Saccharomyces cerevisiae S288C: one gene and its partner. The protein of the gene in region 1 interacts with the protein of each later gene in a biochemical or structural test. Each region holds a gene or a part of one and is shown in the gene's direction. Other genes may lie near its edges. The genes, in order: SDH2 and TCM62.

Region 1 (3,438 bases):
TATGCAGGCCTTAGTTATTGTTAACTATAAGGCCAATGTTGGGTTATACAAATTGAAAACTGCCTCTGCAACTACCACGTCTTCAGTTTCAGTAAATAGTTCAGTGACTGATGGCTTTGTGCAAAAGGATGAGGATGAGAAGGTTAATACACAGATAGTTGTTTCGTTCAAAGGAGTTGGTATCTCATTAATCAATGGTCGTTTACAGGAACTTCTATATATTAACATGAGAGGGATCGAATTAAGATACAATGAATCTAAAGCATACCAGACTTTCAGTTGGAAAATGAAATGGATGCAAATAGATAATCAATTATTTTCAGGAAACTACTCAAATATTCTATATCCAACAGAAATCCCCTACACAGAAAAGGAAATTGAAAATCATCCAGTGATATCAGGTTCTATTTCTAAAGTCAACGATTCCTTACAGGCTGTCCCATACTTTAAACATGTTACGTTATTAATCCAGGAATTTTCCATACAATTAGATGAAGACATGCTGTATGCTATGATGGACTTCATAAAATTCCCAGGATCCCCATGGATCATGGATTCAAGAGATTATAAGTACGATGAAGAAATCCAGTTACCTGATGTTTCTGAATTAAAAACGGCGGGTGATATATATTTCGAGATCTTCCATATTCAGCCCACCGTCTTACATCTGTCCTTTATACGCTCCGATGAAATTAGTCCAGGATTGGCTGAAGAGACCGAGGAGTCATTTTCGTCATCATTGTACTATGTCCATATGTTTGCTATGACATTAGGTAATATAAATGAGGCGCCGGTTAAAGTTAATTCTTTGTTCATGGATAATGTAAGAGTCCCATTGCCCATTCTGATGGACCATATTGAGAGACACTATACGACCCAGTTCGTGTATCAGATCCACAAAATTTTAGGATCAGCAGATTGTTTTGGTAATCCTGTAGGTCTTTTCAACACAATTAGTTCCGGTGTCTGGGACTTATTCTATGAACCATATCAAGGTTACATGATGAATGATAGGCCTCAAGAAATTGGTATACATCTGGCTAAAGGTGGACTAAGTTTTGCAAAGAAAACAGTCTTTGGCCTCTCTGATAGTATGTCCAAGTTTACGGGGTCGATGGCCAAGGGCCTGTCAGTTACACAAGATCTGGAATTCCAAAGGGTCAGGAGATTACAACAAAGAATAAATAAAAACAACAGGAATGCCTTGGCAAACTCAGCGCAATCCTTTGCCAGCACACTGGGAAGCGGGTTGAGCGGAATTGCACTGGACCCATACAAGGCCATGCAAAAGGAAGGCGCCGCTGGTTTCCTCAAAGGCCTTGGTAAAGGTATCGTTGGGCTGCCAACTAAGACAGCCATTGGATTCTTAGATCTTACAAGTAACTTAAGTCAAGGCGTGAAAAGTACCACCACTGTGCTTGACATGCAAAAGGGTTGCAGAGTGCGTCTACCAAGGTACGTGGACCATGATCAAATCATCAAGCCTTATGATCTACGTGAGGCCCAAGGACAATACTGGCTCAAGACCGTGAATGGAGGAGTATTTATGAATGATGAATACCTGTCGCACGTTATATTGCCAGGCAAAGAACTAGCAGTAATTGTGTCCATGCAGCACATTGCTGAGGTGCAAATGGCCACCCAAGAGCTTATGTGGAGCACAGGATATCCTTCCATCCAGGGAATTACATTGGAAAGATCCGGTCTTCAAATTAAACTCAAGTCTCAATCCGAATACTTCATTCCCATCAGCGATCCTGAAGAACGTCGGTCCTTGTACAGGAACATCGCCATTGCTGTTAGAGAATACAATAAGTACTGTGAAGCTATCCTATGATCACATATGAAAGTATATACCCGCTTTTGTACACTATGTAGCTATAATTCAATCGTATTATTGTAGCTCCGCACGACCATGCCTTAGAAATATCCGCAGCGCGCAAAAGGCGGCCTCGCATTGGCCCAATTAGCTCCGGTGTAAAAAGGGCAAACTTATATAAGGGGATTAATGACTTTCTATGAGAATGCCAAAAAATGTTAGGCTAAAGGAAGGGATTGAAAGGAATATAGTTGAGCTATACTTTCTTGAAATACTGGAGTATACATATTTATAGGGATGTTGAACGTGCTATTGAGAAGGAAGGCCTTTTGTTTGGTGACGAAGAAGGGTATGGCTACTGCCACAACAGCTGCAGCTACGCATACCCCCAGATTGAAAACTTTTAAAGTTTACAGATGGAATCCAGACGAGCCAAGTGCTAAACCTCATTTACAGTCATATCAAGTGGATCTGAATGACTGTGGGCCCATGGTACTTGATGCGCTGTTAAAGATCAAAGACGAACAGGATTCTACCCTAACTTTTAGAAGATCATGTAGAGAAGGTATCTGCGGTTCATGTGCCATGAACATTGGCGGTAGAAACACGCTAGCTTGTATATGTAAGATCGACCAGAACGAATCCAAACAACTCAAGATCTATCCATTACCCCACATGTTTATTGTCAAAGATTTGGTACCTGATTTAACTAACTTCTACCAACAATACAAATCTATCCAACCTTACTTACAGAGATCATCGTTTCCAAAGGATGGAACGGAAGTGCTACAAAGTATTGAAGATCGTAAGAAACTGGATGGTCTTTACGAATGTATTCTGTGTGCATGCTGCTCTACTTCATGTCCATCGTACTGGTGGAACCAAGAACAGTATTTGGGCCCTGCCGTGCTAATGCAAGCCTACCGTTGGCTAATTGACTCTAGAGACCAAGCTACAAAGACAAGAAAGGCCATGCTAAACAACTCCATGTCATTGTACAGATGTCACACCATCATGAACTGTACTAGAACTTGTCCAAAGGGCTTGAATCCTGGTTTGGCTATTGCTGAAATTAAGAAATCTTTGGCATTTGCCTAGACTATCAGAAAAACAGCTAGCCCCGAAGAACTCAGAAGCCTCTCAAATGATTTTGGCACTAATAAAAGCACCAACTATTATTATTATTATTTTCAAGGACGAAACTCACCATTCTCACACATTCCTATACGTTAGGCGTTTATGTTTACTCTCTATGACTATTATTTATTTATCATTGGCAATGCTATGACCCGGTCTGTATATATGTCCATCATAGGCGACAAGGTGTTCTAGTATCTTCAGGTATTGTTGTTTTTAAGGATGAATTTATATCTTTGTTTTTGAAGGGCCTTTTGGCTTCTCTCCCCTATTTATTCAATTTATAACTATTTATTATATTAATACACGCGTAATGCTTAAGGTTTATTATTAAAGGACTGTTTTTATATTTACATGCCTGTAGTTAATTATATTTTCGTTGTGAAATTTCTGTTAAGAAACTCTATATGAAAGGTAACGAACTTAAAATTGAAAAGCAATGAGAAGAGAACACCATGAAAAAAAAAAAAAAAGGGCTAAAA
Region 2 (4,264 bases), on another chromosome or scaffold:
TTGAATATGGGTCAGCTATCTTCTATCTGTCGTTACCATATCAGTTTAAGACTACATTGTTAATATTGCTGGAATAGGATTATAAGCGGCGTTGGAATCGACCGCACAAACTACTTGGCTATTTATATATGATTCAAAATTCAGCACCTGATTTAGTAAAGGCAGAACTTTGACGATTGGTAATGTGTTAGAAAAATGTTCTGCAATGTTATATAGAATACGGCTTTCTTTATGTGAATTTTGATATATTGGTGGATTTTGTCATAATTTTTGGGATTTCGTTGTTGTTAAGGTTATAACATTAGGAATAGAGAATATGATAAAGGTTCTTCCCCAGGATACAAAAATTTACAAAAGAGATTGATACTTTTACGTAATAAGGCTACTATTTCTTTCTCCATTTTATATATTGTCACCCATTGTCCTACTATATTTTATTTCAGCTTCCCAAACATCTGATGACTGTTTTTCAATCTTTATATCATCTTTTTTACACTGTATATGATAACATATAATAATATGACTACTGGTAGACAGATGAAGGTTGATTTTGAGATATTGGTGAATTTTGAGGTAATTCTTGGGGTTTTTATTGATTAAGGCTATAATATTATGTATGCAGAATATACTAGAAGTTCTCCTCGAGGATATAGGAATCCTCGAATGGAATCGATACTTCTACATAATAATATTACGATTATTCCTCATTCCGTTTTAAATGTTTCATTATCATATTACATTATCAATCTTTGCATTTCAGCTTCCTTTAACTTCAATGGCAGTTTTTTCATAGCTTATGTCATCATCTAACATCGTATATGATAATACCAGTAGTATAACTATAGTTGATGGACGATAGTTGATTTCCATTCCAACAGATTCTTATTCCAACAACTTTAATATTATCTTCTTGATGTAGTTGCACATAATATAGAAATACTTCGTAGGGAATTAGCATCCCCTCAACTTACAAAACATTCATTGAATTTACCAGTTATAGGGCATGCGTAATGCTTTTAGATGAGATATCCAATGTATACAACTAACCGATATCCAAAAATGACATAGTATCGAGTTCCGGGTCCAATGGTCCAGTGGTTCAAGACGTCGCCTTTACACGGCGAAGATCCCGAGTTCGAACCTCGGTTGGATCAAACTCTTTATTTTTTTAAATTTGCTACTTTAGGTTCGTAGAAAGTCTCTAGGAATGAAATTATATCTTCTGCGTTCGAAAAGAGTAGCTTTAGTTGAAGAAGTTTTGATTTGAAGTGCATTAATGTCTTCCGCTATCTGTGGGAGTGAAGGCATCATTAGAGATAGATCTCAGTGATACCTAATAATACAAGAAGTAGAAATAAAAAATGTGCCCCTAAAAGTACTACCAAGGTATCCGAATTGATTCCTTACGCAGACCTCCCCTATCACAAAATTGAGATGAGGAAGTAGCCAACCTGGTCCTATAAACGTTTAAGGGCAATACGACCGAGTTTTCATTTATTCATTTATATGAATTGCTCTGTCGTGTTTCTCTCTCGGTTCCAGCAGTAAATTTAATGAATCCCCCAAACATTACGGAGCATTCATTACAGATCGGTGGCACCGTTGTATGGATGTATTGCCTTTTTGGAACAATACATCTACTTGCCGAACGTTATGTTTTAGATGGGTCCGCTTTTAATAGTTTAGGTAATTCTTATAGGATTGAAAATCTCGGTAACTAAAATCCGTTATGGCTTAAAAAAATGTAAAAAATAAAGGCCCTTTCTTCCATTCCCTGTGAAACAAAAGTTTCGATAGTGCGATAGTTTACCTTTTACGAGCTTTAACCTGGCGTTATTTTCTCCCACACTACTGTAAACATAAAACTCTCTTATGCTTTAACGAGTATGCTGAGGAATTGTTTGAGGAAATTGGGAAATCATCAAACGAAATGTTCGGTAAAAACGTTACACACCCCAATCTATAGAACAAAAAACCTTCAGGTTCTCAGAGATACGCTCTCTGGTATTAAGCTGTTGGAAAAAATAATAACTTCATCCTCCTACAATAAAACATTGATATATGAACCTAAGTATAAATCCAAGCCACAGGTCGTTAGTTCTCATGATACCATGAGACTTCACAATGTAATGCGTGAGTTACTAGATTCCCTACAAGTAGATGAAGCTACCAACACACGACTTCAATCAAACAGGCCTCGAAAGCTGGGGAGGGTTGGTCTACAATTATTCATGGATTGCATTCAGGACAACTTAACAGCAACTTCAACATCTTTGACATGCTCTTTACTGGAGCACTATTTCAAGTATCCCGAAAAAGAAGTGACCAATGGGATCAAGGCCGGATTACGATATATCAGAGATTTTCTTGCGAAGAACAAGATTATAGTGAAAAGTCAAAACGATGTTGATGCTCTGGTCGAGCAATTGACTATGTCCTCCTCAGACAGCCAAAGCATCAAAAGGGTTTTGAAAGCCATTAATTATGAATTGTTTTCGGATGACATTGTGCGGGTCATAAACGGCAACAAAACTTACGATGAGGTTGATGTATCCAAGGGTTGGAAATATCCAGCTGGTATTTTAGATAGTAATGAAGCCTATTTAAGGTCCCTGGAGTTGCCTACTAAGAAATTAGTTTCCATTGATAAAGATATGCTAGTTCTTATGTATGATGGGACGTTACGAGACGCTAATAAAATTCTACCCACGATAACGTATGCAAGAAAGTTGAGAAAATCTGTTCTCTTAATCGTTAACGGAGATTGCACAGGTGATGCATTAACATCCGTTACAATTAACAATAACAGAAACAAGAGAGAAAATAATGAAAGCCGAATAGTGGTTTTGAAGTACTCTAAAAAGGCGAACAATGACTTAGCGCCACAGGAGAATCTTGATTTTATAAAGTTCTTACGGTTGCCTTGCGGATATGACAGCATCTACTCACCAGAATATAGTCCTTTAGTGCCAAGCAAAATGTGTGCGGATAAATATTACGGCAGTATCGAATCCATAAAAGCGACCACAGGGGAGGCATTCTTATATAACTCCATTGATGCTGAAGCGATTCCAAATAAAGTTCCGAAATCCTTCCTCCAAAATACGGTCACTTTAAGCATTGGTGGACATAACGAAATCGAAATCGACAGAAGAAGAAATGCAATAGATAATTGCTTAAATAACGTCCTATGTCATGGGCTGGCCAAAGGTTTCATCCCAGGTTACGGCATCTCCCTACTGAAGGCAATTCCAGGTTTGAATGAACTGAAAGCAAATGAACCCAATTTCATGACTAAGGTAGGCATCAATGCTGTTTTATCAGCAGTTATTCTCCCATCAGAAGTGGCGTTTAAGAATGCATATGGGTACAACTATTATGAGATCAATAGCCTGATAGCAGGCGCTATAAACGAAAAATCGTTTCCAATGGCCAAGTTTTCTCCAAATTCAGAACCGGTGAACACAGTAAAGGATGGAAACTTGGAGCCATGGAGCAAAATGGATTCTTGTTTAGCCGGTGTAGAAACGTTCATTGAATTACTTACAAGCTGTAATACAATTATCACATGTGTATACAAAAAGCCTGAACGGCACAAAGCCTAGATAAAGCCCTTACATACTTTTAAATAGTCAGAATGAGTCATTGTAAATAGATATTGCCACGGCGCTGCCTTTTATCACTTTTACCTCTTCGTAAATATCTATTATTCCTGCTCAATTTCTCATATGCGGCTTCGGAAAAACTCGGGTTTTTCCACGCCTCAGCAGTAACTCCATCTACCTTTGGGGATTTGAACCATCTCATTCCAGTTTTGGATAACTGCGATTAGATTAAAATATTAAAAGATTATCGATTAGATAAGATAGAAACCAACAAAATTTGTTGTAATAGCTGTGTCCTTGTATCCTTAAAAGAAAACAGGGTTGAAGGCATATGTATTCACATCTTTCTAACTTGTTAACGTCTATGCTAGGACCGAAGTCAGAAAGCGATAAACATGCAAGCCCAAGGTTCACAATCGAATGTAGGGTCTTTGAGGAGTAATTGCTCTGACAATTCACTACCGAACAATCATGTTATGATGCACTGCGATGAAAGCAGCGGCAGCCCGCACAGCGAGCACAACGATTATAGTTACGAAAAGACCAATCTGGAAAGTACGGCATCAAATAGTCGTGAACACAGAGACAACCAGCTAAGTAGGTTGAAGAGTGAGGAATACGTTGTTCCAAAGAATCAACGTAGGGGACTATTGCCTCAA

The links.
Region 2: the proteins of SDH2 (region 1) and TCM62 form a complex in vitro, tested with the Saccharomyces cerevisiae proteins (one study listed by BioGRID).

What each region holds. Positions count from the first base shown.
Region 1 is NC_001144.5:52,610-56,047, reverse strand, and holds SDH2 (succinate dehydrogenase iron-sulfur protein subunit SDH2), read left to right. Parts: upstream 1-2,116; coding exon 2,117-2,917; downstream 2,918-3,438. Other genes in the region: membrane morphogenesis protein VPS13, read left to right, coding at 1-1,837. UniProt on the Saccharomyces cerevisiae protein: Subunit of succinate dehydrogenase (SDH) that is involved in complex II of the mitochondrial electron transport chain and is responsible for transferring electrons from succinate to ubiquinone (coenzyme Q). SDH1 and SDH2 form the catalytic dimer.
Region 2 is NC_001134.8:323,682-327,945, reverse strand, and holds TCM62 (Tcm62p), read left to right. Parts: upstream 1-1,886; coding exon 1,887-3,605; downstream 3,606-4,264. Other genes in the region: QDR3 (Qdr3p), read left to right, coding at 4,001-4,264. UniProt on the Saccharomyces cerevisiae protein: Chaperone. Required for the assembly of succinate dehydrogenase subunits. Ensures mitochondrial gene expression at elevated temperatures and prevents heat-aggregation of the ribosomal subunit VAR1.